3 linked regions of the Lonchura striata genome follow. The protein of the gene in region 1 purifies or fractionates together with the protein of each later gene. This does not show direct contact. Links are inferred from orthologs where the notes say so. Each region holds a gene or a part of one and is shown in the gene's direction. Other genes may lie near its edges. The genes, in order: STX18, SCFD2 and NBAS.

What was found.
Region 2: the proteins of STX18 (region 1) and SCFD2 purify together in Homo sapiens (co-immunoprecipitation; 3 studies listed by BioGRID and IntAct, counting the BioPlex papers as one, with this or other methods). This does not show direct contact. The link is inferred for Lonchura striata from reciprocal best matches to the Homo sapiens genes STX18 and SCFD2.
Region 3: the proteins of STX18 (region 1) and NBAS purify together in Homo sapiens (co-immunoprecipitation; 5 studies listed by BioGRID and IntAct, counting the BioPlex papers as one, with this or other methods). This does not show direct contact. The link is inferred for Lonchura striata from reciprocal best matches to the Homo sapiens genes STX18 and NBAS.

What each region holds. Positions count from the first base shown.
Region 1 is NC_134606.1:13,115,004-13,118,751, forward strand, and holds the start of STX18 (syntaxin-18), read left to right. Parts: upstream 1-1,009; 5' UTR 1,010-1,059; coding exon 1,060-1,227; intron 1,228-3,748. UniProt on the Homo sapiens protein: Syntaxin that may be involved in targeting and fusion of Golgi-derived retrograde transport vesicles with the ER.
Region 2 is NC_134606.1:26,634,466-26,638,213, reverse strand, and holds the start of SCFD2 (sec1 family domain-containing protein 2), read left to right. Parts: upstream 1-1,367; 5' UTR 1,368-1,370; coding exon 1,371-2,106; intron 2,107-3,748. UniProt on the Homo sapiens protein: May be involved in protein transport.
Region 3 is NC_134605.1:101,624,470-101,628,217, reverse strand, and holds the start of NBAS (NBAS subunit of NRZ tethering complex), read left to right. Parts: upstream 1-1,068; 5' UTR 1,069-1,104; coding exon 1,105-1,242; intron 1,243-3,748. UniProt on the Homo sapiens protein: Involved in Golgi-to-endoplasmic reticulum (ER) retrograde transport; the function is proposed to depend on its association in the NRZ complex which is believed to play a role in SNARE assembly at the ER. Required for normal embryonic development.

The sequences.
Region 1 (3,748 bases):
CAGAGCATTGGGTGGCACATATGTATGCCTAAGCACATTTATATAAACACTGCTACTAGCTATTTGGTCAAAAGCTTTCCCCTCTGTGCCACACAGTCTCATGCAGCTAGGCCACTGCATAGAACGTGATAACAAAGTTGCCTCGATAACAAAGGTTATTTCACAAAATTCATTCTGGAATCAGATTACAAACACTGTGATACATTTTGCAGGTACTGATGTGACACTGTCCCAGCGCAGGATGGCAGCAGACTGGAGGACCTGGGCAGTCAGCTTTCTGTTCTGCAGAGGAAACCATAGCTGTACACTCCAGGTGTAAGGAGGTTGCTCTGCCTACACATGGAATTGTGGTCATAGGACATCCACAGCATCACAGAAACACAGAATATTCTGTGCTGGAAGGCACCCCCATCAGGTCCAACTCCTGGTCCCACACAGGACACCCCCAGAGTCACACCGTGTGCCTGGGAGCTGTGCCCAAACTCTTCAGCTCTGTCAGGCTTCGTGCTGCGGCTGCTTCCCTGGGGAGCGGTGCCAGTATCCATCTCTGGGGAAAGAACATTTTCTAATATCCCACCTAAACCTCCCCGACACAGCTTCAGGCCATTGCCTCGGATCTTGTCCCTGTCACCACGGAGATCAGTGTCTGATCCCACGGATGGCATTGCCTAGGGGAGTATCACACCCCTACTCACACGCTACCTCTGGTAGCGCCTACTCAGCTCGCAGCGCAGATGTGGTTCATCTATCAACTCTAATTAACCCGCCTTGCACCAGCACTGCTTGGCTACACCTGGCAGGACGCTCTAGAGGGCCGTTACGCCGAACATGCTCCAATTTCCGTGCAGCGTTTAGGCAGCACTGGGTATACCTGCAGGCTGTGCCGGACACGGCTGCCGCTCCGTGCCGTGCCGTGCCGTGCCGTGCCGTGCCGCGCAGGCCGCAGTCAGCCGGGCGGCCCCGGCCTGGCGCGGCCTCGCCGCCCCTCCCCGCAGCCGGAACGCGCCGCGCGGGGCCGCGTTGCGCGGGGAAGGGCGCGCGGCGGCACCGGCGGCCGCCATGGCGGTGGACATCACCCTGCTCTTCAAGGCCAGCGTGAAGACCGTGAAGACCCGCAACAAGGCGCTGGGGGTGGCGGCGGCGGCGGGGGACAGCGCCAGGGACGAGCTGCTCAAGCGGGGCACCGCCCGCTCCAAAAGCGACTTCACCGGCAGGGCGCGGGAGGTGGTGAGTGCGGCCGCGGGGGGAGGGCGAGGGCAGCCGGGGCGGCTGCAGCGGCTCCTCCCGGGCGGGCAGCCCGGCCCTCGCCGCCGCCTCGGAGCGTCCGGCGCTCCCCGGGGAGAGCGGGCGGGCCCCGGAGCCGGCCGCAGAGAGCCGCGGGGCAGCGCTTTCCCACGCGGCTGTGGCCTGGGAGAGCCGGGGCGGCCGGGGCCGGCTCCGAGCCCGCCTGTCGCCCGCGTTCCCCGCGGCGCGGCTTCTCCCGGGGCCCTCCTGCCGGGGCTGCGGCCGCGTCCGTGCGGATCCGCCGCCCTCCGGCCGTGCCTGCGTGCGCACGGCTGTTTCCTGCCGCCGCCGCCACGTAACACAGCGCTGCCATGGCACACGCGTCCGGCCGCGTCCGGCGCTGCTCCCTGCGCGCTGCTCCCTGCGCGCTGCCTTCGGCTCGGTTGTTTGCGCTGTCACACGGTGTGGCAGCGAAGGGCCAGCCCTAGGCACATTGCATGTACAAAGGTCATCGGAACGTTTTAAGGTTTGCAAAGACAAGCACTGAATAGTTAAGGAATTTCAGAGGTGAAAGCTGATGGGCATTAACAGCGCTCCTCAGGCCATAGTCGTTCTGTAAAAACAATTTTGTTGGATATTGTGTTTCTCCATTCTGAGTCAAAGGCAGGGTTTGAATAATATATCTTTGATAAAGCACTGGACTGTATTTTGAAAAACTAAGGAACTCTGAGAAGACAGACTTACAGACTGGATTTGCAAGTTTGGGACTAAATGAGAAATGGACAAGTGGTTTATAGCAGCAGAGGAAGCACAAGGAAATCTGAGGTTTTTCGGTTCCATTATAGATACTCTTATAGCCACAGATTTATTTGTTCCCTCTGAACAAGCCTTTTGCCCCATTGCCTCTAGTATTATCTCTGTCTGCATTTTGATTCCTCCTTCTCAGTTTCTGTGTCTGTATTTCAAATTATTTAGAGTCTCAGACTAGGTTCATGCCAACTTCTTCCTTCCTTCTAGTCTTTGCTCCCCATTACCTTTCTGCTACCAGGGCTTCTTTGCTTTTGCCTATTCCCAAGTTTGGTTTTGATTTTTAAAGTTCTATTCATACTCAAGCCTACCCTCATCTCCGTCTTTCTCCTTGCCCTGCTGTGCTCCTGTGCAGTGATAGCATGCTATAGCTGTCTTTTTTTTTCTGCCCTGGTTCTTTGGCTTACCACTGTTTACAGCCGCTGTTTCATGATGATCCCAGTGTTTTCTCTGAGCTCCTCACCGTTTCTGAGTTTCCTTAGTGCAGACAACAGAAGGAAGGATGAAGGCGTGGAGAAAAATGTCATGTTTAATTTGTAAGAGCATCAGGTGAAGTAAACAGCTAGTGCCAAGGGGGATGAGCTGAACTGTCTGAGGGGGACAATGGTTTTAATTAATGGTACTTACATAAACAAGGACTTTGGAGGAGAAGCAAAGCTGCAATGTGTTGCTGTGTGAACACGTGGCTGTTGACAGCTGGTCAGTGAGAAGGAGCAAGGTGGACTGGCCTTGCTCTGTAACTCCTCTGCGACAGTGAGCCAACAGCCCACCAGACCACAGAACATCATTTTGATGTGTGAATAGAACACTGAAACTGCAGCCAGAAGAATTAAGATTTATAGTAAAATAAATGATGATTTTACCTGTTTGTTTCAGCCAAATACAGTTCAGTTTGATCATCTTATGTGTCAAACCCTCTAATAGTAAAGACCCTGAATAAGCTACATTTAGCCACCACTTTCTTTATGCCTTACTTGGTTGCAGAATAGAATATTTCAATTGGAAAGGACCTACAGCCATCATCTGCTCCAACTACCTGACCCCTTCAGGGCTGAGCAAAAGGTAAAACAAGTTATTAAGGGGATTGTCCAAATGCCCTTTGAACACTGACAGGCTTGGGGCACCAGCCACCTCTCTGGGAAGCCTCTTCTGGTGTTTAACCACCTGCTCATTACAAAATGCTTCCTAATGTCTAGTCTAAGCCTCCCCTGGCACAGCTTTGAACCATTCTCAGTCATCCTGTCCGTGGATACCAGAGGGAAAAGATTGGCACTTCCTTCTTCATGTCTTCTCCTCAGGAAAATGTAGAGCAATGCGATTGCTCTTCAGCCTACTTTTCTCCAAACTAGAGAAGCCCTAAGTCCTTAGTGCAAGTTCTCCATCTGACATGCAAATATGGAAGTAGTGAAATAATAGAGTCTACACTACTCTAGAAAGAAGTACTCCTTTCAACATTATATTCTGCATGGTTTTGCATAGCATCTTGCAGGTAGAGCTGTGCTGATGCTGCTTGTGCTCCAAGCTCCAGGAGTAGCAGCCAACTGTTCACAGCTGCAACACAGTTGGAGTGTGGGACTGGGCAGGCACTCAGCTGTAGGATCAGAGATCTCTCTAGCCCATCGCAGAGAAGTTTTGTGTCACATAATTAAGGTGTTTGAGCACTTTGCTGAACTGTTTTAAGCGATATAAGTACCTTCAGGGGCAGAAAGGAGAAAGA
Region 2 (3,748 bases), about 14 Mb from region 1:
TGGAGCTTGTGGTGTTTCAGGATGTATGTGAAAACTAAAACAGGGGTCTGCTTTTTCACAGCAGGTCAGTTTGGGAAAAATCAGACTAGAGGACTGTAACATAAACACAACTCACAGTGAGGGGATTTTATTTTAATTGCCTACAGAGAGAAGCTTATTTGAATGTTTCATATATGGCATGACATTTCACTGGAGTTCACAAGAACAACCAACCCACTCAAATTTATTTTTCACCCCCGCAAAATTAAATGTCTGAGTATTGTGGAACAGGTAATGAATTATGTGATGTAACTGGGTAGGTTTTCATCTTGCTATTTCATTTTTGCACAAATAATTGTGGAGTCAGCAAAGGCATTTTTCACCACTGAGTCACTTATTTCTCATAAGACAAATGTGTATATGTAGTACCTCTTCATAGACATCGGTGTCTGAATTTTCATTCCTGTTATGTTTACTTTGCCACTTCACACAATAGTAGTTAACTAGCCCCCATCCTTAGTGTTCATTTCTCAAATCAAAATCGTCAAGAAGACTATTAACTTACATATTTATCTAGCATCATGAAGCTATATGCCCTATAGTTAAAATAACAGATTGGTGCTAGAAAGAAAGCACAAAGAAAGGGAAGAATGCATCTGAGTAGCAATATCAGTAGAGAACACTGAAAGGAAAGGATCTGATTTAATTACTGGAAATCTAGTGAATTCAGTGTTCCTCATGTTTTTCAGTGTCCTGAAACCATTTGAATCTGTAAGATAATTGAATCTGTAAGAGACCTAAGAACAGCAGTTAAGATGGAAGGTGAAGTAACTAAGTATTTTATCTCTTTATTAATGCTGATAATCCTGCTGTCTCAGAAAAGGTGCCTTCCTGGCTGTGCACCAAGGAGGCTGCCCAGCTGAATTCTATGTAGAGCACAGATTTGCAGGCGGGCCATCCATTTTCTGGGGAGAAGAAACTGTAGATGCTTGTTATGGCATTTTTTTTCTAGTTAGTTTTGAAACCGATTTCGAGATGATAGGCTTTTAAAGGGGGACATGGAATTAAAATAATTTGTCATACGTCTCTAACTGTACAGCGAAAAGTCGCATTTACTGAGCGAGAGTACTCCGTGTCGCCAGGTCATTCACCAAAGCACTTGCTAACCCTAGCACAGTGAGTACCCAAGAGCAGGGCAGGGGCAGCGATGAAGGTCCCTCCCGCCTCTGGGGTCCGGACACGCAGAGCGCCGTGGCAGCGGCCGTTCCCGCGGGAGCGGCCCGGCCCCCGCCAGCGCCCCGCCCCGCGCGCGCGGCCAGCCCGCGCCCGGCACGTCATCGCGCGGCGCCGGGGCGCGCCGGCACGTGCGGCGTGTTGTGGCTGTCAGCGCCATGGCGGCGCCGGAGGCGCTGCGGCAGCTCAGCCGCCGGGCCTGGGAGCCCGCGCTGGCCCGGGCGCGCCGCGCCGCCGTCCTCATGGACGCGCCCTCCGCCGAGGCGCTGCACTGGGCCGGCGGGGCGGGCGAGCTGCTGGCGGCCGGGGCGTTGGCTGTCAGCGCGTTGTCCGCCGAGGCGGCGGTGCCGGCGGGGGCGGCCCGCGTCGTGTTCGTGGTGAGCGGGACGCTGCGGGGCGGCGCGGCGGCCGCGGTGCGCGGCGTGCTGGAGCGGGGCGCCGTGCGGCACTGCTCCCTGGTGTGCGGCGACGAGGCGGACGGCGGCGCGGCGGCGGAGCTGGAGGAGACCTTGCGGCGGTGGATGGGCGAGGGCGGCCGCGCCGAGGTGGTGCTGCGCGGCCCGCCGCTCCTGGCGCCCGTCTCGGCGGAGCTCTGCCTGCTGCCCGCCCTGGCAGCGCTCCTCCCGCCGCTGCCCGGCCCCGGCGGCCCCGGCCCCGCAGAGGTTGGACTGGGTGCGCTGCCCGCCGAGCTGCGGGCGGCGGTGCGGGCCCTGGTGGGTGAGCTCGACTCTCTCTTCACCGCCCTGGGCCTGCGGGAGGAGAGCTTCGCTGTGGGGGGCCTCAGCAGGGTCGTCGCCGCTGAGCTAGCAAGCTATGCCTCAGCCAGAAACAGGAGGAGGACAGCCACCAACAAGGCCTCTGTCATCTTCGTGGACAGGACGTTGGACCTCGCCGGTAAGAAATCCTCACCTGCTACGTGCTGTCATTCTACAGGGCCCATAACTGCCCCACCGGGAGGGTGGCAGATAGTAGGAACCCTGGTGACGTGGTGTTACCAAAAATCCATATTCCACTTTGTACCGTGTCCTCCCATGTGGATATAGCTCTAATTTTGGGTCGTTGGTGGGATTGCTCTTGAGATGTGGTCTGCTAAAATACGCTTGTTCAGTGGTTACCAGGCAGTGATGGTAGAACTCTGGGCTTCTCGTGAAGCTTGGAGAAACGTGGCTGGGTTCAAAGCAGTAGTTCCTGTAAGTTCCACATCATCCTGCTTCAGTAGGAAAACTCGGTGTTGCAGCATTCTGCTGGTGATGCCGAATGTTCTCCTTTCTGTTCCAAAACAGCTATTACCGTGGGGGATATGTCTATGATAAGCTTTTGTCCTGCTGTCAGTTTCATGCTTCCTGGATTTAAAAGCCATTGCTCTCAAGCATCTAGATCATCCATTACTCTTCTTACCCAGTTGTTTGGAAAAGTATTTTACAGGCTGCTTCCATGACCCCAAACTCTGTGCCATACCCCTAGTGCCAGGTGCATCCTTTCATGCAGAAATAGATTAAATGGTTTGGTTAAGTGGTGGTCCCTGGGGGTCAGTGACCCCAAAGTCATACTTAACCACCCAATGAACTGGTGCTGGTTTCCAAGTTAGGAGAAAAGTTGACATAACTGAGCTGATTACTCTCCTGTTCTTGGTTTGTGTTTAACATGATCTTACAGAATAAGCAGTGTTTGGTTCCATTCCACAGGCTAATGGTTTGAAGAGTAATTGTATCTAGCCACCAGGTATGCAAACAGTTCTTCATCTGGCAATACTGGGAGCATGTTTCATCCCATGGCCGTGATGGTTGCTTACACACCCTTGTATCCCAGTGGATTATAGAAATGAAGAGTAAGGCCGAAGGCTCTGCTGGAAATCTTAAAATTTGCTGCAAACTAGAAGCCTTAACTGTGCCTGTGTACCACCTTGAGGTGTGAAGGAAACGGTCTGCATATTTCAGACTCAGCCTTATGGATTGCTATGAAGTATCCAGTGAACCTATTTGTCACTCTTATCTTTATGTCTGTCTAGGCAGACATACATATGTCTCTGTGTAACCCTTAGCCATATCTATGTGCCTGAAAGTGTTTCAGTGCATATTGATATAGGAGTGTCTGCATTTGCTATCCCAGTCATACATACCTCCTGCTGGCATGCACAGGATGTGGGCCTGGTTTTGTTTGTAGTCAATAATTCAGGTCATAATTTTTTGCCACCACATGACATGTAGCAAGTACTTGGCACAAAGTTGCACCCCGCAGCTTGTCTGTTTCTGAATTGTCCTCCGTATTTCTTTTCCTCCCATAATTTTGCCATTGTGTACTCTTGAACTGCTGTAGGGTTCATAGCTATCAACAAGGTGCTAAAGAGCAGCTATGAATCCAGGTAGTTAATGCTATGCTGAGATTTGGAAGATTGCTCAGAAGACTGCAGGAGAGTGGACTTGGATAAGAAACCTTAAAATGAAATTATGAGAAGAGTGTTGGTTTGGGGTGGGAACAGGGAAAGGGTTTGTTTGTGCACTCAGATAGTGAGAAGAAATAAAAACAAGAAACAGAA
Region 3 (3,748 bases), on another chromosome or scaffold:
ATTTAATTCCAATAATTCCATTTAATTATTTTATTCAAATTAGATAGTTATAATTTTAATCATTCTAATTAAATTTTTTAATTTAATTTCTGTCAATTATTTCATTCTATTTCAATTATTTACATTATTTACATTATTTTAAATTGTTACTCAGAACAGCAAAACAGCAAGTTTTGTGCAGTCTTGTGTCTAATTTAAGCTGTTACTACTCTTCCTGCCCTATAAATGCAATAATGTGTCTTTCATGTCCTTTAAGTAATTTACAATGTTATCATATGATTTTATATTATTTGCATGTTTTATTAATTTGCTTAAACCACAAAATTCTCCTTCTTTTTGTAAAGTAAAAGAGGGAGATGCGGTGGTGTGTTTTTCTTTCATTTGATATTTGTTTAATATCTGTTTCCCCCCCCAACCCCCCTTTCCCTGCCCCTTTCCCTAGAACCTTCCCTGTCATTCATTCTAGCCCCCTCCTCAGCTTCCAGATGTTAGTTCTGCCCTAAACTCCTCCCCTGCTATTCCCTCATTGGTTACTGTTCCTACACCCGTCCTCCTGAGTTCTGTATAAAACCTTTGCCCCCCCGCCCGCCGGGGTCTTGGGGCTCATGGAATAAAACCATCTCGTTCCCCCCCAAGTCCCGTGTCGCCTTCGTCTGTCCCTGCGCGCCACGAACTGAAACTGCAGAGCTTGCGGGGGAAAGCGGCCGCCCGTTCTCTTCCCTCACCGCCCAGCACGGCTCGGAGTGCCGCGGCGAGGAGCGCATGCCGCGCCTCAACACTCCAGCCCTCGGTGTCCTTCCTGCCGGGAGGGACCCAGAACTTACAAATCAGCTAATTTTATCTGCTTGAGAGAGCTGAACGCTAGGAACTCTAACTGGTAGGACTGAAGTATTTAGAAGTCCTCCGTGGCACCATTAAGAACCACTTGCGAGAAATCCACGTTTTCCCTTTTCCCCGTTTTTTGCCCCTCTTCGGTCAGGGCTCCATCCACACCCCGAGGTCCCGCCCGCCGCGGGCCGGCGCCGCGCGAGTGAAAGGCGGAGCGGTTTGGCCGCCGCCGGTTGCCGTCGCCGCGGCGGCGCGGGCAGGGCGGGGCGGTCCGGCATGGCCGCCGCCGGCAGGGACCGCGGCGGGAGCCCCCGGGAGCGCGGCATGGCCGGCGAGCAGGCGGAGGACGGGGAGGAGAACATCCTGTACGACCTGCTGGTGAACGCCGAGTGGCCTCCGGAGACGGAGGTGCAGGTGCGTGTGGCCGCGGCACGGCCGCGGGCGGGGGAGGGGACCGGCCACGTTGGCGCGGGCGAGGACGCGGCGGCGCCCGGGGGCCGCGGGGCCGCGCCGGTGCCTCGGGAGGCTCGGCGGGATGGCCGCGCTGGGCCTGGCGGGCACGCGGCGTGTCCGTGCGGCCACTGTCCCCGTGTGCCTTCGTGTCGCTTAATTCCCACCGTGGCTTGTGCTGCCTGGGGTGCCTTGAAGTGTTGCTTGCTTATTGAACAATGTGTGTCGGGCTTTGCTGTTGAGCTGACACAAGCGAAACTCTGGTGAATGAAGTCCAGGTGTCGTCTCTAGAATCAGCCGTACAGAGAGCTGTGGAGTCTGTGCTGGTGAAAATAGGACCTTCGTTGGGTTTACCTTGTATGAGGAAAATTAGATCCTCTCTCTGGACTCCTGTATCAGTACAGTTGTGTCTGTATTTGCAGGGATAAAAGAGAAAAATATTTGATTTTCTGTCCACAATGCACACAAATATCTATTTCTGATTTCTTAAGTGCTAGTTTACACTGTTCTTGTACTGCAGGTTTTTAGTTATTTCTAGCTGTTCTTCTACCCGGATCACCAGAAAGGCTGAGAAGCTGTTTCATCTTACCTTTTTCATGTTTTCCTCTGCAATGTGCTGAGCTTGCTGCCTTTTGTCTGCACTTGGATTGACTTGGATATAGATGATGCGAGCAGTGTGGTTTTATTCCTTTCTTGTAGTGGCTTTTAAGTCTACTGAAGTTTTTAATGCATTTCCCACTGAAGGTTTGTAATAGAAGCATTTTAGCAAAGTTTTATGCTTAATGAGAACAGCTGAACAGAAAAGATGTAAAAACATCACAAGGGGAAGACTTATCTGTTAAAAATTACTAGAGCCATGCTCAAAACTGAATCATCAATACCACAGATTCCAACAAAAAAAAAAAAAAGTTTTCATTTGTCAGAAAGATTTTTTTGGTGTTGTTGCTCTTGATCTGTAAATCCTCAGTTGCAGCAACACTTATGGGTGTTTGGAAAACACGATTGCAGTATTACTATTTATTAGCTTAATAGGGTATTTGTATAGATGAATTGATAGTTGCACTTATTTTAATTCAACTGTGTTTTGAGAAATGGTAAATAGTCTTTGTTTTTAGTAGCATATGGAAACAATTCTCCTGTTGCAAACCATGAGGAGAACTTAGGTATGACACAAAACTGTGGTTCTTTTACAGCCGTGTTAAGGGGGCACATTTCTGACAAATGCGTTTTCTGCTGCCATAGTGTTCTTGAGGTTGTGTGGTAAGTTGATTAAAGAACTGATAACTCTGAGAAACAACAATGTTGTTTCATCTCCTCTTGTTAGTAGTCTCTCTAGTACCCCTGTAGTGTACTGGAGGGGGCTGTGAATAATAGGTTAGTGAGATGACACCTCTCCATGGTGGGGATGCCAATTTAAAGTGACTGTGTAACCACAGTCTGAGGGTCCTTATCTGCCCTGGTAGTCAGAATTTCTAAGCATCATTGAATTCTGCTTGTTAGCTTAAGCAGATGGTGGTGGTTGTTTTAAACTTGATATTTCTTGCCTATTTATTTTTAAGATAATACCTGTTTTCAATAGCAGAAGTTGGTTTGAAAATCCTATGCTGTATAATTTGCTTGGATTTACATTCTTTTTGGAATCTGTCAGTACTCAAGGACACTTCTGATAGTCTTTTTGCCATTTTAGTGGGAAATTGATTTTACACTGACAACATAGGCAAACAGATTATTTTGTCAGTATGAGTCACTTTTTGTCTTAAGATGCCTTAACAGTGATACTACTTAGGTGATTGTCCTAAATGACACCTAAGTGTCCTTAGGTGACATTCCCTTTGGAGCATCTGTCTCTTTTAGTCCTATTTTTTTCACACTCTTCAGAAAAAAATTATACCCTACTTTCTTGTAGAACTGAATCTTTTGGAATAAGTGAGGTAAAGAATGGTAGAAATGGAAAGGAAGTTGAATGCTGCACTGGGAAATGAAATTAGTTGTCTTCCTATGCAGTAATTTAGGCTACAAAGCCAGACCTTAAACTTTTACAGGTCTTTATTGACTTTATTTTTTCTGTTCTCTCATTTGGGATGATTAATTTTTAATTGCAGAGCACTAGGTCTTAAAGCTCTAATTATTGGAAGATGAGCCTTGGTGATGAAGATGTAAAATCATGTTAAATTCAAGACATTGATGAAACTGGCATGGATCTCTTGGGCTGAATGCCTAAAATTTTTAATATTACTTCTTGTTGGTATTATCATTCACCTGTACTGAGCTTTCCGGTAAGAATTTTTTGGTGGAAGGAGGGCCAGGGAGAGTTATAGTAGTTATTTGTGGAGGAAACACTCAAGGAATTGACTACACCAAAGAAGAGAGTGGTGTGGAAATCAAACAGTCTGTGTTCAGGATAGTGATGCCATTGTATAAAATGCACTGTTTGAGAACAATGAAATATATAATGAGAATAAAAGGAATT